Caenorhabditis elegans: one gene and its partners. The protein of the gene in region 2 purifies or fractionates together with the protein of the main gene of each other region. This does not show direct contact. Each region holds a gene or a part of one and is shown on either strand. Other genes may lie near its edges.

Region 1 (11,006 bases), on a different chromosome or scaffold from region 2:
CGTCAAGTAAGGTCATCGTCGCTTATCAGCGCTGCCAACTTGTGGCATGCGAGATAAGTGCCAGAGGTCGACAGAAAATGATGAATTGATGCGCCGGCGTTCGCAACAAAAAAAATGTGACACGCGGGAGAAGGTGTCGATTGGTTTCTTTAAGATCTACGAATTAGATTGAGAAGTTGGTATAATTATTGAAGGGGGTGTCTGAAGAAAAAGTGATCAAATATTTTTTGAAAGCGTGGTCAATAAGGTAACATCAATAAAAGTTTTGAAGTTAATTCTTGAATTGAATTGCTCCAAAATCTGAGAAATGATCCTGCCACAGTACGAACTTTCATAATGCTGGTCTAAAAAACAAGTCACAATTAATTCAAAACTTTTTTTTAAATTCCAAATATGCATCTTCAATTTTCAGGGGAGGACTTGCTGGCCGCATCACTGTCGGACTCTCCATCGTAGCTGTCTGTGTGATCACTACTATGATCTTCATCTACGTCGAAACCTCCACATGTGAGTGATAAGGACACGTGAACTTTTTTTTGCAGATCATCAAACATCGATATCTTCTTTTTTTCAACTAATCTACATACTTCCAGGGCTCACTGGATTTTTCACTCTTACCATCATCACAATCATCGTGTTGAACGGAGCAAATGGAGTCTATCAAAACAGTATCTTCGGCCTCGCTTCTGAACTTCCATTCAAGTACACCAATGCTGTCATCATTGGAAATAACTTGTGCGGAACATTCGTTACCTTGCTCAGTATGTCAACCAAGGCTGTCACTCGCAACATCCTGGATAGATCATTCGCCTACTTTTCAATTGCGTTGATCACATTGGTCTTCTGCTTCATCTCGTTCCACATCCTTAAGAAGCAACGCTTCTACCAGTTTTACAGCACACGTGCCGAAAGACAACGCGCCAAGAATGAGGAAGCAGCTGACAACGAAGGAAAGATGGCAAACTACATTGCGACCTTCAAAGAGGCTTTCCCACAACTTATTAATGTATTTTTGGTGTTTTTCGTCACGCTTTCAATCTTCCCTGGAGTCATGATGTACGTTAAGGATGAGAAGAAAGGAGGAACCTACGATTTCCCATTGCCACGTGAGTTTATCACCAAGCTGGTAAATTTAAAAAAAAAATTAAATTTTAGAGAACTACTTCATGGATGTTACCACATTCCTTCAATTCAACGTGTTTGCCTTCATCGGATCAATCGTCGCCGGGAGAAAGCAATGGGTAAGTGCCTCTGAAAGTTGACAGAAATTAAGTCTTTATTACAGCCCGCCCCGAACAAGCTCTGGATCCCAGTCTACCTCCGTCTCCTCTACATCCCATTCTTCATCTTCTGCAACTACCTCCCTGAGACCCGCACACTCCCGGTCTTCTTCGAATCCACGTGGCTTTTCATCATTGTGGCCGCATCGATGAGCTTCGGAAGTGGATACTTCTCAGGACTCTCCATGATGTACACTTCAAAGACTGTCGATCCATCAAAGGCTCAGGTGGCTGGAATGATGGCTGGATTTTTCCTCATTTCAGGAATCGTCTCAGGTCTCATTTTCACTATGGTCATCAAGTTTGTCGTCACTGCCTAAATTTTTCAAAAACTTCTAACATTAAAGACACCTCATTAGCGCAATCAATGCTCTAACCAAAAATTCTTGCATAACAAGAACATTGCATTGTATCTTATTTTTTACTAACCCAATTATCTTCCCTTCAAGGTTTCAAAATATTAATATCGTTAATTTCAAGTGCACTTACTATTAGTTTTCCTTTTTTCTATCCTTTAAATACCACTTTGTATTTCCCAAATACCTCAATCTATTAGTTGTTTCGTTGTTTTTCTTCTCTTCCTTCCTCAAGTATTATCGCAGCTCCATCTCGTTGTTTTTTTTCTTTATTCTGTTGCAATTTTTACGACTATCCCTTTTTGTGAATAAAGAATGCTTGTTAAGGTTAACATTGTAAAAAGCTGTAATATATGTTTTCAAGTTTTGGTAGTTTATGTAAGATCTCCACAAAATTATAAATTATTTGGTTAATACTATTTTTGAGTAATTATAAATGATTGTGGTATTAATTTGTAAGCCTATCCAGGTGCTGTTTTTTGAGCTTATTATACATAGTTTCTAGAATTCAATCGTTTTCCAATTCTTGTTGTTCACAACATCTATGAAAAATTAAGATCTCATAAAGATTACAAGAAAGTTTAGGCTATGCCTAAGCGCTTCAATTGCACTGGTGAAGCGAAATGTGCTTACGCAAATTTTCAAATTTCTGACAGTTTACTAATTTAGGTGAGTAACTAGAATCAGGGGTGGGCGGCAATTGCCTTTCGGCAAATTGAATTGTCGACAAATTGCGGGGTTGCCGATTTGCCTGAAATTTTCATTTTCGGCAAGTTGCCGATTTGCCGTTTGCCGAATATCAGATTTCCCGGAAATTTTTAGAGGGACTTTTTATAGAACGGAAACTCTTAAAACCGTTTTTTTTTGAATTTTTTCCGTTTTGTCTACATATTTTCATAGAATTTGCTTACTTTTCGAAATAGATGTAGGAATATTCATAGGATGCGTAAAATTTTGTCATTTGAAATTGGAATTCTAAAATTTCCAAAAAAATAAGTGCGAAACCACAATTTGCAGAAATTTTTTGGCAAGTTTCTTTTTTTCCAGCAAATTTGGCGAATCGGCAATTTGCCGATTAGCCGATTTGCCGGAAATCTGCAATTCCTGCAATCTGCCGATTTGCCGATTTGCCGGAAACAATCGTTTGCTGCCCACCCGTGACTAGAATCCCATTTCAGCCACGGATTACTCTGTCATTAGAAAAATTTACGCACACTTGAAAACACATTTGACTATTACTGGTGATGTTAACTTTGAAGATTGAGCACTTCATGCTTCAATGAATAGTTTTTTTAAATATTATATGTACAATTGAATTTTGCTGAAAAATGATTAAACAAAAAAAATAAATTTTGAAAAAGTTTTCTGAAATCATAGGTTCATAAAACTAACAACAGAGAACTATTTATAAGGAAAAGTGACAAAAATGACAAAAATCGTTAGTTTTTTTGATTTTCAAAGCACAATTATAGCACTTAATGGGGTGGGATCATATAGATGTTTCTTATCACACAAGGAATGGGGGAAAAATGTTCAAAACGGTTTTTGACAGAAAAAATCTACTAAATATGCAGTTGGTTGGGTGAGCGAAAGTGTTATATTATGAACGGTTCACAGTTCGATGATGATAGTGAGTAATGGGTGGGGGACTGAAAAAGACTGGGAATTGGTAAGTAAAAGTGACACAAAGTTCTGAATTTCAGAGTAGTTTTATAGTGATTACAAGTTTAGATTTTGACAGGCAACTAGAATTTGGAAACAAGAAACCATACCACCCAATGTTGATTCTTCTGGCATTTTAATGATAATGGGTGACAAGCTCTCACATACAGATAGACGGATTAGAAAGTAATAATTTAAAAAAATACATTAAAATCAATTGGGAATGATTTGAGGGGAAGAAGGGACTTTGCACACATCAACTAGCAGTTGCAGTCCTTCTTCCCATTATTTTCAGCTGCACGTGGCAAGTTCTGTTTTGGCTGGACGCCAGTGTCGGCGGCGTTCAAGTCCAAACTTCCGTCTTGGATATTCTGATAGATTTGCTTGGCCGTTTCGAGGAAAGCGTCTTCGACGTTACTGCCACTGAAAAAAAAGCCATTTGAAATTGATGAATTTGCAGTGGGGGGGTGGGGGGAAGAAACTTACGTCTTCGCACTGCACTCCAAGAAAGTGAGCCCGTTTTCTTCGGCGAAAGCTTTTGCTTCCTCGTATGGCACGTCACGTTGATCTTCGAGGTCGGCTTTGTTTCCGATAAGAAAGATGGCCTGAAAAAGGAACTTGTGAGAATTGGTGCTTGAATCTCATTTTTATTGTAAAATTAAATCAGTGCAAAGTGGACGAAATACTGTTTTCTTACTAATACAGGTAGATTTTTAACTCTCCAAATAAAACTAGATAACCCAATTTTAACTCGTTTTTTTTAGATATTAGTTTAACGATAAAACACACAATTTAGAGCACATACAGATTGAATGTTTTCCAGCTTAAATCTGATTCATGAGAATTTTGATTGAAATTCAGTTTATAGTCTACGATCTTTTGAGCTGCAAATAAATGTTATGCTTGCAAAAATTCATAAATTGCAATTTACTAAACATGGCGTACATCTATGTAGTTTTGAAATTTTGCTGAAAGTTCAAATTCGCTTTAATTTTGGAACTTGGGAATGCTTTTATAAAGTATAAATTCGAGTTTTTATATATTTTTCAACCCTACTTTTGAGTAAAAATTATAAACCAAGTATATATTTTACCTACCGTATTTGGATTGGTCAAGCTTTTTGCGTCGGCCAACCAGCTGCTCAAATGATTGTAGGTAGAACGGCGAGTGATGTCGTAGACCATCAAGGCTCCGGCTGCTCCACGATAATATGATCGCGTCACAGCGCGGAATCGCTCCTGGCCCGCCGTGTCCCAGATTTGAAGCTTGATCTTCTGTCCGCTGACCTCAATAATCCTGGTGCCGAATTCCACGCCGATTGTGTGCGGGCAGTCGGCCATGACTGAAAGTTAGTTATAGTTAGTTTTTGCGTTTGTTGCCCGCAGTGATTGTACGGTGGTTATTGACCGGAGGAACAGGTCTCTTGTTGATGACTAATGTTGACACAAACAACATGATATATCGATTTTCCAGGAATGCGGGACTTACACTTCTTTTCTGTGAACTGATGAAGAAGACACGATTTTCCGACACCCATATCACCAATAATAATATATTTGAAAATATACGAATAATTGTAAGGAGCAGCCGTCATTTTTATGTGTTTTTGTTACCTGAAAGTTGCGGATTATATTTTGGTTATTCGTTTCAGAAAAAAGGATACAAAAAAGTAGCAATGAGAATAGATAGACCACACAAAAGAAAGTGGCTATTAGAGACTGACTGCCAAGTTGTCATTAGTTGGAAGTAGGGGAAAACCGACGGGGAGAGAGAGACAAATGTGGAAGTAGTTGGGATAGAGAAAGATGAACGCCACGTCCAAAAGCAATAGAGAATCCATTGGCCTCCAGAAAGCTAAAAGAGGCAATGTCGGAGAGAGAGAGAGGAGCAGTTGTACGAGGAGTGCTACGCAATGGAATATCACGAGGAAAGAGACACTGGACAAAAACGGGGGCCCCTCCATTCCTCTATCTCTGTCTTCTCTGAGAAACGACGCGTCGCGTACTATCGACCGCGACGCTTGCAACGGAACTGGTCTCTACTGCGTGTCTCTAACGTCTCGCTCTCGGTGTGCGCTGTACTGTGCTGTCTGACTCTCGCCTTATGTGCCGCGTAGGAGACGGATTGGAGATGAAGAAAAAAACACGTAGAGAGACAAAAAGAGAGAAGAGTGAAATGACGAGTGAATGCGCACGTGTGTGTGGGCTCTAGCTTTTCTCCTTATTCATCTGTCATTGGTGTTGAGCCAGCTATCTTTTTCCTTGTTCCAAAGAGATCATGCTTTTTCTTTTTCATATACGTAGATGCCTAAGACATGGAAAAAACAATTATTTCCTCCTGCTTCTTGTTTTGCTCTTCAAATTCATCTTCAGAACAGAGTAAAATACTATAATATTAAATATGCTTAATAGCCTAATCAAATTGCAAATTATGACTTCAATTTCCAACCATGGCTCCCCTAATCGGTTACAACTCGTTTGTGAACAGTCTTACAGTTCTCGAGACATTTGATTTTATCACTATTCGACCATCTACCCACTCATTCTCTATCTCTCGTTTCGGTCCCCGTAGTTTCCTTCTCTGACACTTGTGTTGATCGTAGTGCCGCGATGATATTTCGCAATACCTGCTGATGCACGAGCTTCTCTCATCGCCACGCGCTCTCTTCCGATTCCTCTCGTCGTTTCTGTGATATGTGAAGAAGGGCGGTCCTCCCTCTAGTCATCTACAATGTAGTATTGCGAAATATTAAAAAAAAAAAAAACGGAAAATTCATTGTGAAACCCTCGCAGCCAGTAATGTTTCGCAATAACACCCCTTCATTCTTACCAATTCTAGGGTTATCATTCTTTGCATTTTCTTGTCTGTAGTCTACCAACTTTATCTCATTTGCTTCTTCTCCTTTTGTAACAATGTTCCCTAAACATTATTTTTTTTGTTTTTCAGGGTATGGCTCGTACAAAATGCAAAACCAAAACCGTAGCCAATCCTAGAACTGGAGTCAGAAAAACCGCAAAAGATCTTTCTGAACCAGTTCGTCAGGATGCCGTTTCAAGAAGGAGGCCCACAACTCTTCCTTTTGTTGGAAATACCTCAAGTCGTCCAAGGGTGTTTTACGATGTTCTAGCCAAGAAGAATGTCGTCTTCCCAAATGTCAAAGCAGAGTACCACTATAGAGTTCGCAATGCTCCGAAGATTGATCCAAAGAATTTTGGCACGACGCTTCCAATCTGCTATTCTTCAATCGGACCTGCAAAAACACTTGAACTTCGTCCACTGGGTCGTCTACCCCCGCACATCATCAAAGCGTTGAATGATCACTACGTGCAACTGACACGTGGATCTATGGTTCCGGCTGCGGATCTATATAACAATGGAGATCATCCAGCAGAACAACGCATACCAACAATGTTGAATGAGAATGAGTACTTGCGTTTGATCCAGGAACTCGAGGAAGAGGAGAAGTCGAAGCAGTTTTCAGCTACATCCAGCTCCGCACCACATGTGAACCCATATAGTGCCCAACACTTGGTGAGTTGAAATTAAAATTTGAAATCTTCTCATTCAAAAGAATCAATGTTAAGGTTAACGGTGAAATTATCGGAATCTTTGTCATTTATGGAACTGGTCTTGTTACTCGCGCTGTTTGCTCACAAACTCGCGAAATGTTTACCGCTCACGTGCTTCCTGAATGGAAAGCGTCGAAAGTGATTGACGTCATTCGACGACTTCAAATCCCCACCGACATCTCATCCATGACCGCTGATGAAATCCGTTTAAGGTGAGTCAAAAAAAATGCTCATATGATGAAACAAAGGGGGGATTATGAAATCATTTAAAAAGTAAAAGTCAGAATCGGGACGCTGACGTCATAAAGTCAGAAAGTTGATACAATCTTTGAATAATTCAGCGAACTCTGCATATCAAAGAGAATGGAAATTATCAAGAGTAACGACAGATACATTCTTATGAATCCGTGCGAATCGGCTACAATTCACTCCTACGCCACCGAGCGTCTTGATGAAATAACTGAAAACGACGTGATGAGTATCTACCAAAAGGTTGTGGAGATTGTTCGATTTTGTCATTCGAGAAAAGTGATTCTCCAAAACTTCAAGCCTAGAAGCTTCTACCTAAAGAAAGATGCACATAACAAATGGGTTGTTCGTCCGTGCTTCCTTCAAGACATGAGCTGTGAGGAAGATCAGTCCGAAGCGCAATTTACTCGTAGATCAGTTTGCGTTCCATTCATGGCTCCGGAGGTTTGCAGTTCAAATATTGTTCCACATTAAAAAACATAAAATTTCAGATGCTCACTGCCGAGTCGAGAACACATCATAGCTATAGCACCGAGCTTTGGGGACTTGGTGTCTTACTGTACATATTGCTAACTGGAAAGTATCCATTCCATGAGAATAGTATGCCACTGTTGTTCCGTACCATCAAATTCAAACAACATCGCTGGCCGTTTAATTTTATATCCTCCAAAAGTAGGTCAAAGTGAAAAAATTGAAATGGTTTAAACTCCGCGCCTATTTTAGGTAGAAACATTGTGAACATGCTGCTAAAAAAAGCACCAGCAACCCGAATGAATCTCGAAGATCTGTGGAATCAAGTGAATGGAGATTTCCCGGAAATTAGATGTCGTTCCAACATAATCCTGAAGAAACAGGATATGATTGTGAAGATGGACCTGTTCGAGATGTACTACAACACCTATAAAGATCGACTTCTTCCGAAAAACGTACTCCCAATGTATGAAGAAATGAAGGCTTGCAGAAATGATTCAACAATTCTCACCGAAATGGCAAAGAGAGATTTTCGCTCAATTCAAGAGCAGATGAAACGTCGAATTGAAACGAAACCAACTGAATATCAAACATTAGTGATGCAAGTTCGCCTGCAACAGATCAACCAACTATTCTTCGAGAAGGAAGTAAGCCAAGCCCAAAAGCAACATCGTGCTCCAAGACTGGTCCAACTGAAATGCAGTGATATATCGAAAGAGCTACTGCTTCCCGGTGACATTTACCCAATTAGCGAACATTATCACCCAAGCCAGCAGCCAGTTGATAAAGTCGTCTACAAGCTTCTGTCCGACGCCAATTCGCTGGCGTTTCCAACTGTTATGAAAGGGACCGTTCCGAAATCATATCCACCTCCGGTGTTCAAGGGACTTGACATATCGCCCTCCTAAATAGAACATGTAAATAGATAGCTAGCTTTCTTTATGTACTTTCCAACTTTCTGTATGTTCTCTCGCATCCTTGTAATTAACTCGTCAGAAATTCTTATTCTACCAACTTTCAAAATTCCGAATATTTTAGAAAATCTGTAATGTAATTCAAGGTCGACAAACTACCTCTATGGGTGTTTTATTTATCATCATGTCTGTTTTTTGTTTCAATCTCCAACTTCATGTAACTACTCTTATCTCATATAAGGTCTGCCAATGTGTATTCCTCCCTGTCTCCTCCCAGTCAGCATTCAAACTTTCGCAAGAAGTTTCGATACTGTAGCACTGCTATAATATACATATTCACAAAACTCTTTTACAAAACCGATAAGCCTGTGAATTATCAATAAACATTGGGTCACAAACGACGAAATAGAATTGCATTCGAGATAAGAACTTTATCATTGAAAAGTGAGCAGAATTCATTGCAAGCAGAAAGTTCGATTTCGCAACAGACACGTCTCACGTGCAAGTTGGTAATTTGAAAAAGTCATGCAACATTGGAAATTGAAAATAAAAATGAAAGTTGTTGACTGCTAGAATTAGAAATCATGGGCACTGTTTACGAGAAATATAGAAAGGGTTTTTTGGATTAATGAGGGTACCTAGGTAACTTTTTTTCCGTTTCAAGAAATTGAACATTTTCAGTAGTACAAGTTACAAGATAACTTAGCTAGCAATTTTAAAAATTTGAATTGTCTAGCTTAAAGCATACTTGCGGAATTCTGAATCATTTAGACGGCACATGTTCAAAAATAGATCATTTTGGGTCTGGAAGGAAATGTACAAATTTGGCAAATAGGCAATTTGCCGGTTTGCCGATTTGCCGGAAATTTTCAATTTCGGCAAGTTGCCGATTTGCCGTTTGCCGGATATCAAATTTGCCAGAAATTTTAATGGTATTTTTTGTAAGACGGAAAAACTTAAAACTGTGTCTTTTTTGAATTTTTTTAGTTTTGTCTGCATATTTTCTTAGAAACTGCTTACTTTTCAAAAAATAATAATTCAAAATAGAATAATATTTATAGGATGCGTACAATTTTGCTATTTGAAATTGTAATTCTAAAATTTCCAAAAAAGTTAGTGCGAAATTACAATTTGCCGAAAATTGTTCGTCAAATTGCTTTTTTTCCGGCAAATTCGGCAAATTGACAATTTGCCGGTTTGCCGATATGTTGAAAATTTCAATTCTGGCAATTTGCCGATTTGCCGGAAATTTCAATTCTGGCAATTTGCCGATTTGCCCATTTGCCGGAAACGATTGTCGCCCACCCCTTAAATGTAGTCACAAAGCAAACCAACTTTTATAAATACAGTGTCGGCCAAAAATATGTGCGTTTTTGGTTTTTCAGTGTTTTTTTCAATCAAAATTAGTATATATAACTCTGAAAATGAAAATTTCGGAAAAAAGCTTAACTAACAAGCTGTTGCTCTCACTTTTTTCTACACACTGAAATATTTTTCGAAGCATCAAAAAAATAATGGCATTACATACAGCGCCCGAGATCTCGTCAAAATTTAATTCATCAAAAAGTAATTTGATATTATAAATTCATTATTTTTATGGTTAACATTCAAAATAATTTTTAAAGGATAATAAAATAAAGGTGAAAATAGGTGATATTTAAACAAAACACAGGATGAATGATGAAGAGATACGAAGAAAACAATGCAATTCCTGAAACAGTTGAATCGGGTGGAGATGTGACATGGTGCAACAGAGATGGCAATATAAAGCTTTGAACAACCACAATTGTTATTTTATTAAAGCGGTGAATGAACTTTCATTTTATGCCTAAGAAATGAAATGGAATGGGAACAAATATTTTTTTTTGTTTCGAAACTTGTTTTGAGAACATTCAAGCTAAAGACAGTCAATGCTTACGCTTGGCTGAAAAAGAATGGGAGGAGGAGGAGGACGAAGCCTCGTCTCGGTCCTTGACTTTGTGCTTGCGTTCGCGACGCTCGTCTTCCTCATCCTTATCGCGACCTTTATCCTTTTTCAAGTACTTTGAGCTGTGCTTCCCATCGTCCGAACGGTTCTTGGCCTTTTCCTTTTCCAATAGACTACGCAATTTTGCATTTTCCTTTTCCGCTTCTTCAAGTTTTTCCTGGAGTCTTCGAATGTTTCTGTCATCCGATGACAAAGCCGACTTGGTGCCCAAGCACTTGCGAGCCTTTTCCCAAGCGCCACCAAACGATTCCTTCAAAACCTGCAGTTGAGTGACAGTTTCCGCGTCCTTCTCCTGAATGTCGTTTGCCAGTGTCTCTATCTCTTTGACAACTCCATCTAGCTCTTCGCCAATTTCTTTATCGTTATAAATATTGAACATTGCAGTGAGCTTCTGCTGTTGAATGCGTTTCTTGAACAACATCTCTCTATTATCGATACCAGCCAGGTCCATGTTCCAGATTTTTCTGAGAGTGTCGATCGGCTTCACGTAGTCCTGACTTTCAATGCCATCGATGTTG
Region 2 (10,398 bases):
GAAACAAACATTCTGTCTACAACTTGGATCCAGACATGGAAATCAGACTGAGAATCGAGCAAATGTGTGTAGAGTACAGACACGATTCAATAATTCTCGACATTTGCAAAAAGCAGAGGATATTTTGGAGTTTTTCATTGGTGACGTCATGAAGATTATTGGATCTGCAGATCATAGTGAGAAGAAGAAGTTGAAAGAAGTGGAAGTTATTCAATCGCCGATTTCTGAGAATGAGAATACGGCGAAATCGCCGACTTCTACGTTTAGTAGATTTAGGTCGCCTGGCACTTCTAAGGTATTGCAAATTCTTTTTTTTTTTTGCAAATTGTAGATTTTTAATATTAGCGAAATTTGTCTATATTTTTTTAAATTGAAAATAATATCGTTTCGCAATTTTTTTTGATTTTCTCAAAAAAAAAAATATATCGAAAAAGTCAAAAATTACTGTTTTTGAAAAAGAAAAAAGAAAAAATCGAATTTTTCGATTTTTTTTAATTTTAAAATAATATCGTTTCGTAAAACTTTTTCTCTAAATATTCTCTGAAAACCGAAAAAAAAACATTACTGTTTTTGAAAAAAAAAATCGAACTTTTTCGATTTTTTTTAATTGAAAATATTTTTCTCGCGCACAATTTTTTGGTTTTCTCAAAAAAAAATCGAAAAAGTCAAAAATTACTGTTTTTCAGCAAAAAAACCTGGTCTCGACACGAAAACTGCATCGAAATAAAATTAAATTAAAAAATTTTAATAATGTTTTTTTCTTTAAAAATAACAGGCTAATTTTAAAAATATTTCCAAAAAAAAAAAATTAATTCAAAATCATTTTGTTGATTTTTTCAATTTAAATCAATTTAAATTCATTTTCTAAAGTTTTACCTGCCAATTTCGAATATTTCTCTTAAAAATTCGATATTTCTGAAATTTCTGAAAATTTTCTCGGTAGACATTCGTTAAAAATTCATTAGAATGCGAATAAATTGAAAAAAAAAACGGAAAAAGTAATATCAAAAAATTTAATGAAGGCTACGCTTTTTCTGAAATTTTTGCATTATACGGAATCATACAACGAAAAATATTATGTTTATAATTTTTCCTGTGAAAGTTAAAAAACGAATAAGGAATATTTTTTAAAAAAATGCAGTCCAAATTTGAAAATGGGTTTTTTTTTCTAATTTCAAATTTTTATGATTAAATTTGACGATTTCTAATTTTAAAAAAGTTAATAACGCTCCGAAATTTAAAGTAACAAATTAAAAAAAAATACTTCTGGCACTTAAAATAAGAAAATAAAACAATCTGGAAACTCAAATTTTCTGTATAAAAATACAAATTTAACGATTTTTCAGACAAAAGAATCGGGTCCTGCCACGAATCACAATGTGATGGAACTCTTCCAATTTCCGGGTCTCGAAGCGAAAATGTCGTCACAACAACTGAACGGAGTCGATGATGGCGACAAGTATGAATCAGTATTCCAAATGCCAATGGACGTGCTCACGACATTTGTGTGTGATTTCTTCAGTGAAGTGGCGATTGAGACGAATTTCAACGCACAAGTCTCATTCTTGCCGGAACTTTTGAAAAGCTATCTGAAAGAATCACACAGTGGCACATCATCATCTCATTCGACAAATTCGTCTCCGGCAGTGTCTTCAAGTAAAGAATCAGTTGTATCGGAAACTAGCAAAGATCCTCGAATCTTCACGTGCCAAGAATGGAAAGTAGAGCCGAGAGTTCGATTTATTGATCGAATTAAATGGACGCCTCCGGTTCTTGATGATATTCTCAAAAAACTTCAGGTCTCAGCGTTTTCATTGAAAGTTTGAGAAAAAATGCTTCTTATTAAACCTATTTTCCAAATATTTGACATGGTGCATCGAGTCGATGCGCCATGTTTTATTTGGATATGACCCAGCCACTAAATGTTGCGATTTTTGCGCCGCGTTTTTTTTTGAAAAAATTACAGTAAAAAGTTGATAAGATGCTCAAAAAGGGTTTTTATTTTTTCGCTTTTTTCGAAATAAAAAAAAGAAAACTGCCGAAAAATGTGATTTTTTGGCCTTTTTCGAGTTTTTAATAAAATTTTATTTTTTTGGATTCAGTCCTGATTACCAGACGTAAAAAATATAAAATATTGCGATTTTCGTTCCAAAACTACGGTACCCGGTCTCGACACGACAATTTTTGTTTAACGAAAAAAGGCGTGCACCTTTAAAGGGTACTGTAGCTTCAAAATTTTGTTACTGCGGAATTTTTATAATTTTTGGAAAAAAAATATAATTATTAATTAAATAACCAAAATATTGCAATGAAACACACACACACACACACACACACACACACACACACACACACACACACACACATTTTAACGAATTACGAAAAAAATTGAACTATCCGCAGAAACAGAATTTCAGTATTACAGTACTTAAAGGCGCACATATTTTTGCATTTTACAACAATTTGTCGTTTCGAGACCAGGTACCGTATTTTTCGGCGATAAAAACGCAAAACTTCACGGTTGGGTAATAATTTTCTGCAAAAATTCAAATAAAGTTTATTAAAATTAAAATACATCTTCCAGATATTCGATCATCGAAATACGATTCCAAAAGTTATTCAGCGAGCAGTGCTCGATCCACTTGACGCCACACTTGCCGCTTCAGTGATTGCCACTTTGCAAATTGTGGATAACAAGAAAACGATTCAGAAATTCAAAAAGGTTAGGATTTCGGAGTTAAAAAGACATATTTCTGGAAAAAAAGCCAAAAAAAAACGTTATTTAGTTATTTTTAAAATAAAAAAATGATTACCTAAAGTTGAATTTTTTTTAATGTACTCAAAATTTAAAAAAAATATGGAAAAAATTTTTTTTTTCGCTTTTTCGATTTCTCGATTTTCAAATTTTTGGAAATAGGAAAAAACTTAATTTTTTTTGTTCGGAGATTTGCCGGAAATTTTCAATGCCGGCGATTTGCCGATTTGCCGGAAAAATCGCTTGCCGCCCACCCCTGCTCCACATCCTCCAAATTTGGCAAATACTGTTTTACTACTTGATCTTTTACTACGTATCTCTTTTACTACAAGATCTCTTTTACTACGAATTCCGCATTTAGATCTTTTACTACAATTGGCTCTTTTACTACGTGATCTCTTTTACTACCATTTGACCACATAGATCTTTTACTACGGAAAATACTTTTTTACTACCTCATTTTTTACTACGTGGATCTTTCACTACGGTTTCATATTTCGATGTTTTGCTACAGTTTGTATCTTTTGCTACGGTAGACATTTTTACTACAATGGCAGGGATTGTACTTTTCACTATGTTTCGTATCTTTTACTACTAATTTTTTACTACGAATTAAAAATTAATGTCTATAGTATTTTATATTCTAGATATAAACAAATGTATGAATAGTTTTTTTTAATACATAGGTCATAATTGTAAATGGAGTTAATGGAGGGAGACTGTTGGGTTACTGTAGTGGTATTGTGGGAGTAATTCTTTTTTTTTCGCGTAGCCAACAAATTAGTTCCATACCCGTTGCTCTATAAGTTTTGTCTATAATGTCTATATGTATAAGTCTATAATGTAATAAAAAACTTGTGGGTTCGGTCAGTTATCTGTCAGGTGTTTAAAATTTTGACTTCAGCTGACATTTTGAAACTTTTGATCAACACTTTAGAAATGTTTTTTTTCTAATCACGATTTTAGATTTGAAAAAAAAACGGAGATAAGTTGTCAAAAGTTAGTTCATAAAACGTATTGACTCCAAGTACCGATAACTCCGCGAGAAAACAATTTGGTAAAAAAATGTTCAACTGACAAATCGTAGATCATACCATATTCAACAACTTTGTAGTTGAAAACTATGACAAATAAATTGACGACCGAGATAGGATACCTACATTTTCATTTTCAGAAAATCTTCTGAGTTTTAAAACATTTATAGAGGACTTTTTAAATGTTTCTGGAATTTTTACAAAAGTTTTACAAGAGAGCAAGAGATCATATCGTGTTTTTTTTTAATTTCTAGATCCAAATGGCCATAATAAGTTCTGCTCATTTCATAGTGAATAAATTTCTAGAAATTAAAAAAAAACACTATATAATCTGAAAACTGTTATTTCCACAATACCACTACAGTAACCCAACAGTCTAACCCCATTAACTCCATCTACAATTATGACCTATGTATTAAAAAAAAACTATTCATACATTTGTTTATATCTAGAATATAAAATACTATAGACATTAATTTTTAATTCGTAGTAAAAAATTAGTAGTAAAAGATACGAAACATAGTGAAAAGTACAATCCCTGCCATTGTAGTAAAAATGTCTACCGTAGCAAAAGATACAAACTGTAGCAAAACATCGAAATATGAAACCGTAGTGAAAGATCCACGTAGTAAAAGATGAGGTAGTAAAAAAGTATTTTCCGTAGTAAAAGATCTATGTGGTCAAATGGTAGTAAAAGAGATCACGTAGTAAAAGAGCCAATTGTAGTAAAAGATCTAAATGCGGAATTCGTAGTAAAAGAGATCTTGTAGTAAAAGAGATACGTAGTAAAAGATCAAGTAGTAAAACAGTATCTGCCTCCAAATTTCAACAAAAAACCAAAATTTTCAGAGTCGAACGGACTCGATGGCACCGACACCAAAACGACGAGACAGCCGTCGTTCGAGCGAAGAAGTTTCCGTTTCAATCGATATTCCCGATATTATTACAGATATTTCCGACGCCTCGTTTAGACCGAAACACAATTAATTGATTTTTTTTTTCTCATGTATTTTCTAATTTTCTAGTCAACAATTATTGGCCAGCAGCTTCTTAATATTTTCTATTGCCTGATTTACGGTTTTTTTTAATTATTTATTTTTTTCCTCCAATTTCTGCTTCCACAAATATTTAAATGTACCAAATAATTTCCAATGAGCTTCTGTGATTTGTCTATTTTTATTTATTTTTTTCTGTGAATAATAATTCATTTGTACTAGTATTTATTAGTTTCATTTGATAAGTTTCCTAACAATTTTTGGATTATTTATATCTTATTACGAGGATCCACACGCAAACGCAGAAAGTGTCTGACTTTGTCCGGGCACACTGATCTTCCATTTCGATCCATCACACTTGATGCTTCCTTTTGATCCAACTTTACTCATTGGGGTCACGAATTCACGTCCCTGTTCATTGTAGTACCAAACATCAGAGCCAGCGGGGCATTTTATCGAATATTGATTGCCGGAGCCGGTTACAGCTTGAGAAAATGGAGCGAAATCGCAGAGGGGACAATTGACTCGGCGGGGGAGGTAGATGCTGGAAATGCCGGGGCAGCCACCTGGAAATTATTCAAATTATTCATTTAGGGCCGCATTTGCGCGTAAAATTTGATGCATTGGGTCAGTGAACTACGACAGTGCACCATGTTTGACGCGCAAATTCGAAAAAAAATTTAATTTTTGGGGAAATAAACAAATTCCCTGTACAAAATTGATATTTTTGAAAACACGTGGTGTCAGGCTGTCTCATTGCGGTTTGATAAACAAAAAATGCGGGAATATTTTTCCGGAAAAATTGTGACGTCAGTAGGCTCTTAACCAGGCGAAATAAGATGAGAAGTCTGCGTCTCTTCTCCCGCATTTTTTGAAGATCAAAACCCAAATAGGACATTCTGACTCCCCTTACGAAAATTCACTTTTCAAATAATCTGGCGAAAAGCAGAAAAATTCGTCAAATTTTAAAAACTATTTATAAAAAATCCTATTTTTTCATTAATCCCATTACACTTCTTTTTTTTAATGAATTGGGTGATTAAACATTATTCGAATTTTTTTTTGTTGAAAAATCAATAATCTCAAAAAACCCACCATAGACAGTGACGATCAGAATCGTAGCCAGTAGAACAATGATCTTGAACATTTCGCCGCTGACCTATCTATCAGTACTCAAACCCTAATTCTCAGCCTTAAATATCGTTACTGCTGTTTTTTTTTCGGCGACGAACGCTCACCCCGCCCCACACACAAAACTTCCTTCATCATGATTGATTAGTTTTTGAATTGAAACGGGAAAAAAAGACTGAACAAAGGGAAATATTATTGAGACGTAGAAAAATGCGCTTTTCACGGTGGTTCAGTTGCTAGATGGGTGCAAACGCACTCCACCGAACAAACGTGCATAACTTGGGCAGGAAGCACAAAATCGAAAATTCATCACAAATAAAGATAGGTATATTCATTGCGGTCATTTCTTATATGCATCGCAAAATCGATTTTGTGATGGTTTTCGAGATAGTAGCCAATATAGGTTTCCAGACTGACACGGACAACTGAAAAGGATCCGCCCCCAAACGTTGGGTCTCGTCAGGTATTGGCGAGACAACCGGGAATTTTTATGGTTTTTTGCCGATTTTACTAGTTTTATGTGTCGAAATTAAGGAAAATCAAATTAAATAACGGTTTTCCCTTTTAAATGCAATTTTAAAAACATAATTTCGATATAAAAATCTTGAAAAAACACGAAAAAATGCTTGAGAACAGGTGAAATCGGCAAAAAAGCGGTAATACCTAACGAGACCCAACGTTTGGGGGCGGAGCTTTTCCATTTGACCGTGGAGCGCGCTTGCACCTCGATTTCAAAAATCGCATTTTTCTGCATCAAAATTTTACGATTTTTTTCTCCATATCTCGACACGACAAATATTTGTTAAATACGAAAAGGTGTGCTCCTTTAAAGAGCACTGTAATTTCTCGTTTTGGAATTTTCATTGACACAGTACTCTTTGAAGGCGCACATCTTTTTACATTTAACATACATTTATCGCGACGAGACCAGGCACCGTAGCTTTGGCACAAAAATAGCAATTTTTTCAAATATCAACTACAGTAACCCACAGTTTGACATGGATTTTGAAATAAAAAAGTTTGCGCGTCAAATGTGATGCATTGAGTCATGTACCTAATGCACCACAGTTTACGCGCAAAAAAATTTGGAAAAGTTGAACTCCTGATGTGTGATGTGTTATCAGGAGCGGAGAAAACAAAATTTGTATTTTTCTCTGGGTCTCGTTTTTTTAGGATGCCGTTTATTATTTGTTTCAAAGATTTTTTTTTCAATTTTCAATTTTCAATTTTAATTTTAATTTTGATTTTGCAGGTCAACCATGCCCGTCGCAATTGTCACAGGTAATAATGACTCTAAATACTTGAAATTCCATTCCTCTCCCCTCTTTTCCAGGTGCAAGTTCTGGTATTGGACGTGCGGCGGCTCTTCTTCTCGCCCGGAACAACTACAAGCTCTCACTTACCGGACGGAATGTGGCGGCTCTCAATGAGCTCGCCGGGCAAATTGTCAGTGCTGGAAGTGATAAGAATGATGTACTGGTGACCGCTGTTGAGTTGGCTTCAGAAGAAGCTCCGAAGACTATTGTGGATGCGACTGTGCAAAAGTTTGGACGAATTGACACATTGGTGGGGGGTTATTTTTGGAAAGTTATAATAAAATTTAGAACTATTACGGGAACATAAAAATAAATAAAATTCTGAGAATTCGTACTGCACAACATATTTGACGCGCAAAATATCTCGCAGCGAAAACTACAGTAATTCTTTTAATGACTACTGTAGCTCTTGTGTCGATTTACGGGCTTGATTCTCATAATCAAGATAATAAAGCCCGTAAATCGACACAATCGCTACAGTAGTCATTTAAAGAATTACGGTAGTCTTCGCTACGAGATATTATGCGCGTCAAATGTGTTGCATTACGCATTTTCAGGATTTTGTGTTCCCGTTATAAAAAATTTTAGTTCAAAATTCTTTTTGAAAACGTAATAATTGCGAATTTTGTAAAAAAATGCACAGAAAATTATCCAAATGTGAAGTTTTGCGACTACTATTGCGTTACAAATACGGTATCTGGTCTCACCACGACTAATTTTTGCAACTTGTAAAAAGGTGCGCGCCTTTAAAGAGTACTGTATTTTCTTTTGTTTCTGCGGAATTTTCATCGAATTTTATACTTTTCGATAAAAAACTGTTTGAAAAATTAAAATTTATATATAAAAATCGAAGGAAAATTTGAAAAAATTCTGTAGTATATGCGAGTACTGTAGCTCAGTTTTGCACCCAAATTTAATTATTTTTTTTAAAATTAAAATTATTTTTGTCGCATTTCACATTAAGATTCAGAGATCTTAGAATTTTTATTTTTTAAAATTTTTTGAGAAAAAAGTTTGCGCGCTTTTTTAGATACTTTTTTTTTCGAATTTTCCAAATTTCTGCCTAAAGAGTTTTCTCATTTTTATTTTCGAGAAAAATTGCACCAACCTGTAAAAAGAAAATATGGGGATAACGAAAACATTTAAAAAAACTCTCCAACCGATTCTTGAATTATTAAACCCTTAAAATATTCTAAATTTCAGATCAATTCGGCCGGGATTCTGCGTGCCGGACCAGTTCTCGATTCTGGAATTGAAGTCTACGATGAGCTAATGAATGTGAATGTTCGTAGTTTGATCCGCCTGACACGTGCAGCTCTTCCACATATTATTACAACAAAAGGAACTGTTGTCAATGTCAGCAGTATTAATGGACCGTGCCCTGTATGATGTTATTTTTTTGTTGAAAATAATTTTCAAATTCGCAATTTTCAGTTCCCAAATGTAACCTATTACTGTATGTCCAAGTCGGCCGTAGATCAATTCACAAAATGTTTGGCTCTCGAAATGGCTCCGAATGGAGTTCGTGTTAATGCTGTTTGGTGAGTTTTCTCGCGATTTTTGCCAAAAAACTACGGTGCCAGGTCTCGAAGCGATCGATTCTCTTTAAGGAGTACTGTAATTACGATTTTTTCGGTTTTTAGGTTTTTTAAAGAAATATTCGAAAAATAAGAAAACATATACATTTCTTCCAAAAAGAAGAAAAATTGTCAAAATTTCAAGATATTTTGCGAAAAATCGGAAAAATATTTATTTTTGAAATCGAAAATATTTTTGGCTTTTTTTTTTTCGAAAAATCGAAAAATTATCGGAAAATATGAGTAAGAACGAAATCACAAAAAAAAACTAGGAAAATTTCCTGAAAATTCTAACTTTTTGCCGAATTTTCATAGGTTTTCTTGTTTTTGTTCAAATTTTGATGCATTTTTATATTTTTTGAATAAAAACGAATTTTTTAAAAGACAGGAGCTAAACTATGGAAAATTGCTTTAAAAATCTCGCAAAAACTAGGAGTAAGTAACTACAGTACACTACAGTACTCCTTTAAAGGCGCACGCACTTTTGAATTGAAAAAAAAAAGATCGCTTCGAGACCGGTTACCGTATTTTGGTGCAAAAATCGCTAACTTTCTCATTTTTTGTCGAATGAAACGCTAACAACACACGTATTACGGGAACACAAAATTTTGGGAATTCGTCTTACGCAACATATTTGACGCGCAAAATATCAAAACTACAGTAATCCTTTAACTGACTACTGTACTGCTTGTGTCGATTTACGGGCTCGATTTTGGAAATTAATTTATTTTCTTCGTTTCTTCGTATTATTTTCTCATTTTCAATAATCTTTTGATAAATAAAAAAACCCGTAAATCGGCACAAGTGCAACAGTAGTCATTTAAAGAATTACTGTAGTTTTGATATTTTGCGCGTCACATATGATGCGCAATACGCATTCTCAAAATATTGTGTTCCCTTAATAAACCCATATAAATTTGTCATTTCTCCAAAAATTTCAGCCCAGGGGTCACCGTGACCAACCTGCATCGTACATCTGGTCAAGACGAGACAACATATTCTGCGGTATAAAACCTGCTGCACTGACCTTGACAAATAAATATCATCATTTCTTTCAGTTCTTGGAACGTAGTAAAACGACACACGCACTCGGCCGTCCCGGTGATGCCAATGAAGTTGCTGAGGCAATCTATTTCCTCGCCTCTGAGAAAAGTTCATTCACTACTGGAGAACTTCTTCGTGTTGACGGAGGCCGCGGAATCATGCATCCGAGATAAATATTAGCTTTTTTGTCTCATATTGAGATTGTTTTGAACTTTTATCATGTAATAAATAGAGAGATACATGTATTTTTTTTAATTGTGTTTTTATTGAATCCTTTATAGTGGTTTTTTCCTTGCTTAATTTTTTTTTTTTTTGAAAAAAAATCGATTTTTTTTTGATTCAGTTTTGAATTTATTCAGAGTATCCGAAAATGCCAGTCGCCATCATCACCGGAGCAAGTTCGGGAATCGGAAAAGGCACGGCTCTTCTGTTCGCGAAAAAAAAGTACCAACTCTCGCTGACCGGAAGAAATACGGATTCTTTGAAGGAAGTCGCAGCACTATGTATTTCAGAGGGTGCAATTTCGGCTGATGATGTGAGTTTTAT
Region 3 (12,008 bases), on a different chromosome or scaffold from region 2:
AACCACTATGTCCGAAAGATTTAAAATTTAAAAAAATTGAAATTGAAAAAAGTATTCATTGAATATTAAAATGGATTTGAGGATATTTGTGGCCCTAAAGAGGGCCGTTGGGTTCGGTTAAGTTTTGAGATTAAGCTTGCTCAACTACCAAAAAAGGTATTTAAGCGCGCTCTCCTCGGATGCGTCTGGCCAATTGGATATCCTTTGGCATGATGGTGACTCGCTTAGCGTGGATGGCACACAAGTTGGTGTCCTCGAAGAGTCCGACAAGGTAAGCCTCGGCAGCCTCCTGAAGAGCCATGACAGCGGAAGATTGGAATCGAAGATCGGTCTTGAAATCCTGAGCAATCTCACGAACAAGGCGCTGGAATGGTGCTCTGCGGATTAGAAGTTCGGTTGATTTCTGGTAACGTCTGATCTCACGAAGAGCGACGGTTCCTGGGCGATAACGATGTGGTTTCTTGACTCCTCCGGAAGCTGGAGCCGATTTGCGGGCAGCTTTGGTGGCCAATTGCTTTCTTGGAGCCTTTCCTCCGGTCGATTTACGGGCGGTTTGCTTGGTACGAGCCATTGCGTTTAGGTTGATAATCCGTGGGGACTGTAAAAAAGAGAAACCAACGACTGCCTTTGTACGCAGCTGCGGTGGGAGGGCGGGCGGGCGCACTTCTGTCCTTGTGGCAATTAGAACATTCGGTGTGTTACAGACAAAGGAAAGGTGTCCTCGCAGAGTGGTGCAATGTGACTCCGCCTAGCCACCACAGCTGTGTACAAAAGGAATACTGTGATGTCATTTCTTCATCTCACTTGTGAGTCTTCAACGAATTCAACAATGTCCGGACGTGGAAAGGGAGGAAAAGGCCTTGGAAAAGGTGGTGCCAAGCGCCATCGCAAAGTTCTCCGTGATAACATCCAAGGTATCACCAAGCCAGCCATTCGCCGTCTCGCCAGAAGAGGAGGAGTCAAGAGAATCTCCGGATTGATCTACGAGGAAACCCGTGGAGTCTTGAAGGTGTTCCTTGAGAACGTCATCCGTGATGCTGTCACCTACTGCGAGCACGCCAAGAGAAAGACCGTCACCGCCATGGACGTCGTCTACGCTCTGAAGCGCCAAGGAAGAACTCTGTACGGATTCGGAGGATAATTATTATCTTTTCTGTTTTCATACAAACCAAATACCGAACCCAACGGCCCTCTTTAGGGCCACAAATATCCAAAATCCTAATTGATCTCGTTAAATAAATCTTAAATAATTTTGATTTTTCTATTTTAGCATTTTCAAATACAAGTTGACATGATATTTTCTTTATTGCTTTGCACAACTACATACTTTTTTTAAATTTAAAATTAGAATTGCATGCAAGTAGACATTCGGTATTCGATTTTCTTCGTTCGTTCTCAATTTTATTTACAAAAGGGTATATGAAAGTCTGCACAGTTTTGTTTCCCGAACCATATGAATTCACTTTATAATTCAAGTTGGTGATCGAAATGATTTAGATATCCAAGAACATGAAGCGGAAGAAAGCTTGAAGCCTGAAAACCAGTGCCTGAATCATATATCTCGCCTGATATCGGAAATCAAGTAATTATTTCATAGCGTTTTTTCAAACTTCTTGTAATTTGATGTAGTAATAGTTTTTCATAACATTTTTCAACCAATTTTGTGAGATGACCCGAGATTTTTCCAACAAGATTGAAAACCGAAAGTTTTTATAAGCCTCGGCCATTAGCTTCCCTTTCTCTGTGCAACTTCATAAACTACGGAAATACAAGTTTTTGGAAATATTCGAAGAATCCCATCTACAATTTGAAAGATAGAATTCCGAAGATGCTTTGAATTTCTCTCTCTGAAAGAATGACTTTTAGAAAATGAATACTGGGTTAATCTCAAATTAACTGAACTTGGAAAATGCAAAACCTGAAAATTATGAAAGAGTATAATTGAAAATTATTTATTCACTTGGTTAATAACATAGGATTATAAGATTTGTGGCCCTAAAGAGGGCCGTTGGGTTCGGTGGGGTAGTTTTCAGCCTAATGGCTTACTTGCTGGAAGTGTACTTGGTGACGGCCTTGGTTCCCTCAGACACGGCGTGCTTGGCAAGTTCTCCTGGGAGAATCAAACGGACAGCGGTTTGAATTTCGCGGGATGAGATCGTTGAGCGTTTGTTGTAATGAGCAAGACGGGAAGCTTCCGAAGCGATGCGTTCGAATACATCATTGACGAAGGAGTTCATGATAGACATGGCCTTGGAGGAGACTCCGGTGTCTGGGTGAACTTGCTTGAGAACACGGTAGATGTAGACGGAGTACGATTCCTTGCGGGCATGACGTCTCTTCTTTCCGTCCTTTGGCTTGGCAACGACGGTCTTGGCGGCCTTCTTGGCTCCCTTGGCAGATGGCTTTGGTGGCATGATGAGAATGAACTTGAATCAAGTATGAGGAAATGGTTGGAGAGACACCTATTTATGTAAAAACTGCGGTGGAGGGGCGGAGCTTCCCGCGGGGACACATTACTGAGTGCACACAAAATTCCGAATGTACCGAGGTTAATAGGGGGACAAAGAGAAGTGAGAGAAATGTGTCCTACCAGAGAGTGCGGAATGTTCAAATAGAGGTGTCCCCGCATGAAACTCCGCCCCTCCACCGTAGAAATGAATATAAACAGACAGTTTCGATTCATTCTTCAGATTCGTCTTACGAACACCAATCGCTCATCATGTCTGGACGTGGAAAGGGAGGCAAAGCCAAGACCGGAGGAAAGGCCAAGTCACGCTCATCAAGAGCTGGACTTCAATTCCCAGTCGGTCGTCTTCACCGTATTCTTCGCAAAGGAAACTATGCTCAACGTGTTGGAGCCGGAGCCCCAGTCTACTTGGCCGCTGTTCTTGAATATCTCGCTGCTGAGGTTCTCGAGTTGGCCGGTAACGCTGCCCGTGACAACAAGAAGACCCGTATCGCCCCAAGACATCTTCAACTCGCTGTCCGCAACGACGAGGAGCTCAACAAGCTTTTGGCCGGAGTGACCATCGCCCAAGGAGGAGTTCTTCCAAACATCCAAGCCGTTCTTCTCCCAAAGAAGACTGGAGGAGATAAGGAGTAAGAACTTTCTTCTTTAAACAAACCCACCGAACCCAACGGCCTCTTTAGGGCCACAAATATACAAAATCCTACTTTTTCCCATTAATAAATTTTTTAATAAAGTTCATATTACATTTATTTTTAATAAGTTGTTTGCTTGAATGCAATATTGTTATAAAGTTTTCTACCTTCCATGTTCTGTCAGAAAACGTATGAGGAAATTCTAGAATTACGATAATTACAATTTTTCAATCCCATTTTAATAAATTTTGTATTGCATTTATAAGCGGTCTGCTTGAAATTCGAGCCCTGAATGCAATATTGTTATTAAGTTTTCACCTATATTTGACGATCGGTCAGAAAACTAAGGAAAACCATGAGCTAAGCCCTGCATACCACCCCATCCCCCACTATATCACAATGCCATAATAAACAAAGAAATTCGCGTCCTACCGATTTTATAAAAATGAGCGGTCTCATGGGATAATTAAGGGGTTAAAATGTTCACGGTGAGGTAGAATAAATCGGGAAAAATTATAAAAAATTCAGAGGGAAAACAATTAATCCCGAAGTCTTTGAAATGGGTAGAAGTTCCATCACGAAGACTTGGTGGGCTCAAAATCAGTGTCAGGTAAAAACCTGCATAAAGCATTTTACAACAAAAAACAAGAACGAAAAATTAACAACAAAGTAACAAAAGGAACACAAGGAACATTATAAGAAAGTTTCAGAGACGATCAGTCTGCATAACGAGAGAAATTCGAAGAGTTGCCATATGCGCCTGCAATAATTATAATTGAAAAAATCAGCATTAAAATCCATACTTGATGTTGTTGGCTTCACGCTAGATTCAGCGAAAAATGAACTATTGCAAGGGGACGCTGGGCGTGTCCAATGCTCCATATTTTTCTCGTTTTCCGCCCACAAATCGCGATGAAGTTGAGCCATTTCCAAAGATTTGGTTGTTGCAAGTTGCTGGCGTAGTAGGCGTTCATGTCGTGCAGAGTCACGAGATTCCTTGATACCAGGAGCAACGTAACGGTACTCTGCAAGAAATCAGAATTATTAATGAAATAATAATTACTTTTGAATTATATTTTCTTACCAGCTGGTGGCCAGCTTTCCAACGTTGCTTCGACTGGGATAACCAGAGGCTGAATGATTTCCGATTTCTTTATATCATGACTCCATCTTGGCCCAGTCTTTTCATATTCTTCTGTTGGAATGAGCTCTATGATCGATGAAGCGATACGGTCGTGGTCCGATTCCGACGAGGTTGAGCCGAAAACCTGTAAAGTTAGAAAATCAGAAAAGACACGACGAAAAAGCATTCCATTCATTTTCAGTGTATTTTTCAAATTAAAATCTTTCCTAGTGACAATGACAAAACATTACCTCCAAAATCTTCCCAGAGATCTCTTTGATACGCTGTGGACCAGCGTTTGCGATCTCGAAATTCTCCTCAAACGCCGTCTTCATTACTTTTTCCAGTTGTTCTGAGGATTCGAACGTGACTGAACTGTGACGCATGAGTTCGTCGGCGCACGAGATGTCGAACACTCCCATTGTGATGATACAATCGAGGTATTCCGTGAGAACTTCAATTGTTGGATCTTCAAAAACTGAGATGTTTTGATCAGTTTCGGGTGGAATTTCCTCGAATATCACTGCGACAAAAGCGGGCTTACAGCTTTTCACTGCCTCTACAGAAGCCTTGGGCTTTGGGCTCAGATGCAGTTGATTCATCTCCAGATTATCAACAGCGGTGTCCGATTTATGGTCAATAGATATCGCAGTTTTCACTGAAGATTCAGATGATAGAGTCGAACAACGTTCTTCGTCTTCTTCATTGATCGATTGATCAACAGTTTCGCTTTCCTCGATATCGAAAGTTCTTTCGTCGAATGTCTCCTTCATTTCTGCATTGATTGCTTTGTAGACTGCTGATGGAATGCGTCGCTTCTCAACTTCCAGAGCCTTGAACCACGTTGAGATTGCGAATTCTAAGGTCCACGGAAATTCTTTCAAAACCTTAGAAGTTAAGTAGCTCTTCGCTTCAGCATCGAACGGTTGCTCCATGTTTTGACCAATCGCCTTGAGAATCATTTTACAGTTTTCAATGACTGTATTCGATACGTTCTCGTCAACAATAATGTTGAGCAAGAAACAAATAATCGAAGGAGTCAAAAGAACATTCTCAGCTGGTTTAGTTCTCGCCGACGTGGCATACTTCAAATTATCGAAGTTTTCAACAATTTTCACAGCAATTTCGCTCAAAACTTCCACTGATATCATGGGAGTTCTGTTCTGAGTGTAGAGTTCGCAAAGCACCACTTCCAGAAGTGGCCATGCAGACATCAACGAGGGTTCCTGTCCTGAGCATATCACCCTTGCGAGTTGTTCCAAATTGCTCCACTCTTCGTCACTTGTATCCACCCAGCGCTTATTGAAAATCAATCTGCGGAAAACCAGAGCCATGAGTGATTCAACGCGATCGGTTTCGTATTCAGTGTGATATATTTTCAGCGGACGATCGAAGAACAATTGTGGCACTTTTAGGCACACATTTAAACAAAATCCAGTGATTTCGAAGTTCTTGAGGCATCGAGTGAAAATGTCCAGAAGAGTGGTGACTGGTGAGAAGAGCAGGTGCCAGCGCAACTGAAATATCAATATGAACTTTGTTTCAAAATTATAAATCCAACCTCTTCCTGAACATCGTCGTCGACCTCTTCAGGATTTTTGACAATTTCATCCAATAATCTCGCAATTTTCTCCCTGAATCGGGGAACGAGTGTTTCGAAATATGGCGTATAATCAATTTCGTGATATTGCCATTCCTTAACGAATTGCTCCTGGAAAAACTGCTTGCTCGGCTCCGTGAGCATACTGTACAGTTTACGCATGAGCAGGATGTAGTCTTTGCTCAGTCCGACGTCCTTTTGAGTTACACCTGCTTGGAAATACTGCATCGCACTGAAAATTTGTATAAATGAGGTTATTAAAGGTGACATTGTTCACATACTCCATTGACAGGTTAGAGGTGTAAAAGTCATAGACGAGGAAATCGGATCTTCTGTCCAAAAACTGCTGAACTCTGACCTTGTTCACATCGTACTTCTTGTAGCTGTAGAAAATCTGAAATAAAAAATAAAATATATTTATAAGCTAAACAATTGGAAACTCACATCCTCCAGCTCCTGCACCCATTCTTTGTTCATATCAAGAGTTTTTTGATCAGGCAGTTCGTACGAACTCTTATTCTCGACCATTTTTATCTATAAAGGGAGGTTTTTCGTGGATAGAAAATTTTAGATAAAAATATATGAATGTGGTACAAACCACAAAGTACTGATCAAGAATAAAACAAATAACTGAATAAAGAAATGATAGACTTTATTGACTTGTATTATTATGAATAATTTATCAAACATTTAGTGCTCGGCAACAACTTTCCCTTTCTCTTCGTACAATTTCGCCAATTCCTTTGGACAAGTATGCATGTACCCCTTGTTAGCAGAACAAATCTCTTTCATTCGAGTGTACGAATCGTAGTTTCTGCAAGTTTGCTCGTTGCCCGGGAGACACTTGTGCGAGGATCACACTGACGCGAAAAACTCTTCATATTTGTTGTGACGTGGCCAAACGTAAAATGCGTTGAATGCGGCAGTCGAGACGACAGCGACAGCAAGTGAAACGTAAATTCCACGTTTTCCATATGATTGGAGCATGTTCCGGGTAGCGGAAGCAGCAACCATGGCTGAAAAAAAGAATGAGTAATACGATGTGCAGCTAGCAAGAAAAAGACGTAAAACAAGAAAGACGTTTTTTTTTAAATCAAAGATATTGATACTTTAAAACATTTGTGCAAAAATGATGGGAAATCCGATGGAAAATGATAGAAATCCGAAGAAAATATGATTGAACTTGAACAAGAATTGAACAATATGATGATGCGCGACGCAACACGCGTCGCACGTCCACTACTGTAGAAGTAGAGTGTATGCAGAGTGTTTGCGGACTGGCGCACCGTAACCGGCTTGTCGAAAAAATGATTATTTTTTGAATACAGATTATTTAAAATAAGCCTTTTTACTGGCTTATCTTATCGTTCTACACTTCTTTTAACTGAAAACGTATTTATTTTCATTCATTCAATAGAACATTAACAAATGAAAAAAGAGCAGGAATAATATTGATGTGGAACACAGGAAAACATATGAACTAGTAGCTGCTGAATTTTTGAAGTTATTTCTACAAACATTTGAAAGAGAATGAATAGAGGAAGATCTGGTATCATTTATAGCTTTGGAGCAACCCATTTGTATGTTCCAGTGAAGATGAAACCGTACTTTTTCATCAATTCGTCACCTTCAGTTGGACCACGACTGAAAAATTGGATTACTGTATTTAATTTTAAAAAAAAAGAAACACAACCAACCTTCCAAATTTATATTGAACCGGTTGAACTTTCTTCTTTTTAAGCTCTTCGAGAACTGGCGTCAAAATACGCCAAGCGTATTCAAGCTCATCAGTTCGAACGAAATTAATTTGAGATCCCATGAATACTTCGAGAAATAGGCGTTCATAAGCATCAGGAAGACGGACTTCTTTGAATCTGAAATTATCACAATGAAATTTTTTTTGAAGAGAAATTTCAAAAACTAACCTATTATTATAAGTCAAATCAAGTTCAGTTTCTTCAACACCGAATCCCATTCCAGGTTTCTTGGTCATCAGTTTCATGTAAACTGCCTCATTTGGTTGCACTCTCATCACTAATTCGGATCGCTTTAATTCACCAGACGGATAGATATCTCCACTGACTTCTTTGAATTGTATACGAACTTCTGCTTTCTTCTCGTTGAGAGCTGCAATAATATTGAAATTTAAAAATTCGGTTTTTTTTTGTATATTCCCTACCTTTTCCACAACGCAAGAAGAATGGAACACCCTCCCAACGTTCATTATTGATGTGAACAACAGCAAGAGCATACGTTGGAGTAGTCGAATCGGCTGGAACTGATTTGTCATCTTTGTATCCTTGTGATGCTTCTGGGTCTAAAATTAATGTATTTAAAAATCAAAACTTTTATAAAATTGTAATTTTTGAAAAACTCACGATCAAATTCAGGACTGGCAATGTATTGTCCAACTACTACATCCTTTAATTCTACAACTTTAGCAGCTTTCAACACTTTGACCTTTTCATCACGAATATCTTCAGCATTCAAACTTGCTGGTTTCTCCATGGCGACTAAAGTTAGAATTTGCATCAAATGATTCTGCATAACATCACGGATAATTCCAGCTGTATCAAAATATCCAGCACGGCCACCAGTTCCAAAATCTTCTTTAAATGAGATCATAACTGATGCAATGTGATCGCGGTTCCAAGATGGAGCGAGAATTCGGTTTCCAAATCTGAAAGTTCAAAATAAAATTATAAATCTCTTCAAATACTTTGAAAAAACATTCTTACCGCATAACCATCAAATTCTGAACCATTTCTTTTCCGAGATAATGATCAATACGGTAGATTTGATCTTCTTTAAAAAGTTTCGCCAAATGAGTTGAAAGTTCACAAGATGATTTCAAATCATGTCCAAATGGTTTTTCTATGATAACACGTGTCCATGAATCACCATGATCCATACAATTCTTCTTTAATTCCGTAGAAACCACGTTGAAAACTGATGGAGGAAGAGCGAGGTAGTAGAGACGATTGACGGCTTCTATAAATTTGCTTAGATTGAGTGAAATTTAATTCTAAACCTACGATTATTGCTTTCTTTTTGGAAATCATCAATTGAAGATTGAAGGCGTTGGAATCCTTCAGAAGTGTCGTATTGGCCCTGAAAAAATGTCAATGGTGCTTTTTATGTTCAAAGTTTCTAGAAAAAAGCTTCGATTCAAATTTTTATTACCCAGTAACAAGATTTTGTGCGAAAAATACGGTAACCGGTCTCGACCCCACAATTTTTGTTGAATGCAAAAAAGTGCGCGCCTTTAAAGAGTACTGTAGTTTCAAGTTTTTGTTGGTTTTCGTAGTTTTCCTACCTGATTTGTAAAAAAAATGTATGTGTTGCAATTATTTTTTTTCAGTTTTAAAACAATTTTTTTAAAATCTGAAATCGACAAAAGCTTGAAGCTACAGTACTGTTTAAAGGTGATACGTTTTCGCATTTAACACAAATTTGTGGTGTCGAGACCGAGCACTGTATTTTTGGAACAAAGTTTCACGCCTATTTATTAGCAGATGTAGATTTACCTGAACGTATGAGCACTTCTTGATGAAGTCATCAAAAGCACATTTCTCATTTTCTCGAACTTTACAGTTTTTCTCAAAAGATTCACGAAGCTTGAAAACTGTCAGATCGGAACGGGCATATCCAATAAATTTGATGTTGACTGGCAAAAGGTTGTCACGGAACAACCACCACAGTGTTGGGTATATTTTCTTTTTTGCGAGATCTCCCTGAAAAAATGTTAAATAATTAATAATCGATATATATGGAATAGATGTCATACCGATGCTCCAAATATCACGAAAACGTACGGAGTCTCAAATTTGAGATCTCTTTGCATTGATTCACGAAGACACTCGACGAGATCCTTCGAAATGGGATCGGACACTGAATGACGTTTGCATGCCATTTCTGTAAATTTATAAACTAGATTTTGAAGTGAGAATGACGAACATTGATTCACAAAAATTACTCGTGTTGAGAGGTAAATAGTAGAAACTACAAGTTTCAAAGTAAACCATCTAGATACACATAAATGTTATTTAAAAGTGAGATTATTGTTTCATTTATACAACGAAAAATCAAAAAGAAATACGTTAATTGATATATTGATGTACTTCATAATGATTCTGCGCAATTCTTTTTTACTGGCAGAGTAATAAACTGCTTACTTTCAGCTAGTTACATTTAATGGAATAATGTTAATTTCTAGCACTAAAAAATGTAATTTTTCCTTTCGAATCATATACCTAGTAGCGAACCGCAGTCTACAATATAAATGAATTGGAACAACTGGAACAACACTATAAATCGGTCACTTTTTACTCCACTTCCATTTTTTTCACAGGGCAGCGAGAGAAGAAAGAAACAGTAAGAGAAAAGTGGATGCGCCAGTCTCTTTACAAACATGAAAATATTTACTGAAATCTTCTCGGGTCACAAAAAATGATGACTGAATGAAATTGTGTAGTGTGTGCGAGTGGTAACCATGACAAATAATGTTCTCTGGGCGACATTGATCGACAATGAAAAGAAACAATGTATTTCTCTAGGAAACATAAAAACTCGAGTAACTTGACTCTGGAGAAGAGACGAAACTTTGTAACTCTAGATTTAATCTATGGTTCTTGACTTTTAGTTGACCGACTAGGATATTCTGGAACACATTTTTTTTGGATTTTATCTGGAAGATGAATTCTTCGAAGACTTAGTCTATCAGAGAAAAAACTAATTTCGTTTTCAGAAAACAAATCAAAAATCACTGAACTTGAAAGTTTATCAATTTGATTAACGTCTGATCAGTTTACCAAATTAACAAGAAGACAAAGAAAAAGAAGAATGAAAACTGTTCTTTGCAACTCCTAAATAACTATGCATTTTCAACCATAAATTCTGCCAATCGGGTTTCATTTGGAAAACGGAGCACACGAATGGCCACATTTATTTGTGTCTCTGCCGATCATTTTTTTAGAAGGTGAAAAGTGCAAACAAAATATGAGGAGAAAAAAACGGAAAATGCTGACAAAACTTCGGAGGTGACAAAGAAAGAAACGGATAAAAAAGGTGAGAAAAGAAAGGGCAGACAAATTAAATGGACAGAAAGACAATCGGGAAAGAATGTTGCCAATTTGGGAATATAATTAATTTTCAAGTATTTTTTTAAAGAGAAATTGAATATTTTCTGTTAAATTCAAATATTTAGAATGCTACATTCTAGCCAGTCTATTGTGGAAATCATGATAAGATTGTCTGAAAGATAATGGATTTTTCCAAAATGCTATTATATTACGTGGGCGAGCGTCTCCTCTATAAATAAAGAGCAATGGGAAACAAAACATGTAAACTAAAATGAACACCAAACACGAAAAAACCTTCCTCTTCCCGTCCACTATATTGATATTTAGGATCTGGTGTGACCCACAAGTGGGTGGTGCCATTCGTGATAAGGAAAATCGGTCGAAAAAATTCATCAGCAAAATACGCGGAAACAGTGAACAGTGAGCACACGTTGTGAAAAAGGTGAGAAAAGCAATTTTTAAATTGAGATAATTTTTATATATGAAAGCTTCAACGGAAAAGATACAAAATCGAGCAAAATAAGAAATTAGAATTTATAGATTATTCTTCAGCGTCCAAATTGATCTGATCTCCGAATTTGGCGTACAAAACCTTCTTGATTTGCTCCATGTCCGCTGAGATTGCATCCAACTCGGAGGTTTTCTCAGACAAAACCTTCTCTGCTGTTGTCTTCTTTCCTTCCAAATGCTCATTCAGACTATCCTGAAAACCAATCACTACTTTCGTGTAAACCAAACGTTAATTCTCAATTCAAATTAAAAAAAAAACTGCTCACCCCATTGAAATGAACGAAGCAGCTTCCAATTCTGCATGGAATTGATGCTGAATCCTCATCATCGAGCAACAAAATTTCATCACTTGCTTCATTGATATTGTCAATGAGTGTTTTAGCTTCTTTAACGTCTGCCTGAAATTAAAGAAGAGAAACTTTAATGTAAAATTTAAAAAAAAACGTACTTTTAACTGGGTTTGTGTTTGGTATGACCGAGCGAATTTATTGAGAAGCGCTTGGTCTTCAGCAGAAACTTTCGTGTGTTCCGGCATTCTAAATTATTTTTAATTCAAAGATTTAATTAAAGAAACAACGAAGAAACAACATTA

What was found.
Region 1: the proteins of Y47G6A.33 (region 2) and rab-14 fractionate together in Caenorhabditis elegans (co-fractionation; one large-scale study listed by BioGRID). This does not show direct contact.
Region 3: the proteins of Y47G6A.33 (region 2) and edg-1 fractionate together in Caenorhabditis elegans (co-fractionation; one large-scale study listed by BioGRID). This does not show direct contact.

Annotation. Positions count from the first base shown.
Region 1 is NC_003284.9:15,601,725-15,612,730, forward strand, and holds rab-14 (Ras-related protein Rab-14), read right to left. Parts: upstream 4,912-11,006; 5' UTR 4,893-4,911; coding exon 4,787-4,892; intron 4,641-4,786; coding exon 4,396-4,640; intron 3,904-4,395; coding exon 3,785-3,903; intron 3,722-3,784; coding exon 3,559-3,721; 3' UTR 2,911-3,558; downstream 1-2,910. Other genes in the region: ent-2 (Equilibrative nucleoside transporter 3), read left to right, coding at 1-6, 413-507, 594-1,106, 1,156-1,241, 1,286-1,600; Protein nipi-3, read left to right, coding at 6,248-6,829, 6,883-7,079, 7,209-7,560, 7,608-7,788, 7,840-8,495; K09E9.3 (Transcription initiation factor TFIID subunit 5), read right to left, coding at 10,409-11,006.
Region 2 is NC_003279.8:3,559,621-3,570,018, reverse strand, and holds Y47G6A.33 (C6 domain-containing protein), read right to left. Parts: upstream 5,980-10,398; 5' UTR 5,932-5,979; coding exon 5,880-5,931; intron 5,351-5,879; coding exon 5,064-5,350; 3' UTR 4,951-5,063; downstream 1-4,950. Other genes in the region: lpd-3 (Bridge-like lipid transfer protein family member 1 C-terminal domain-containing protein), read left to right, coding at 1-295, 1,347-1,799, 2,585-2,722, 4,639-4,776; Y47G6A.22 (DeHydrogenases, Short chain), read left to right, coding at 7,175-7,196, 7,249-7,481, 8,435-8,614, 8,666-8,772, 9,750-9,813, 9,867-10,025; Y47G6A.21 (DeHydrogenases, Short chain), read left to right, coding at 10,223-10,387.
Region 3 is NC_003282.8:11,315,151-11,327,158, reverse strand, and holds edg-1 (Protein edg-1), read right to left. Parts: upstream 6,360-12,008; 5' UTR 6,354-6,359; coding exon 6,270-6,353; intron 6,220-6,269; coding exon 6,107-6,219; intron 6,058-6,106; coding exon 5,787-6,057; intron 5,743-5,786; coding exon 4,477-5,742; intron 4,371-4,476; coding exon 4,187-4,370; intron 4,128-4,186; coding exon 3,906-4,127; intron 3,863-3,905; coding exon 3,819-3,862; 3' UTR 3,523-3,818; downstream 1-3,522. Other genes in the region: his-45 (Histone H3), read right to left, coding at 161-571; his-46 (Histone H4), read left to right, coding at 830-1,141; his-48 (putative histone H2B 4), read right to left, coding at 2,043-2,414; his-47 (Histone H2A), read left to right, coding at 2,720-3,103; B0035.18 (Mitochondrial cytochrome c oxidase subunit VIc/VIIs domain-containing protein), read right to left, coding at 6,516-6,639, 6,691-6,839; gspd-1 (Glucose-6-phosphate 1-dehydrogenase), read right to left, coding at 7,382-7,469, 7,523-7,699, 7,751-7,952, 8,005-8,142, 8,204-8,505, 8,564-8,816, 8,861-8,936, 9,353-9,559 and 1 more; pfd-4 (putative prefoldin subunit 4), read right to left, coding at 11,448-11,609, 11,683-11,814, 11,865-11,951. UniProt on the Caenorhabditis elegans protein: Plays a role in regulating deps-1 cluster formation in the germline.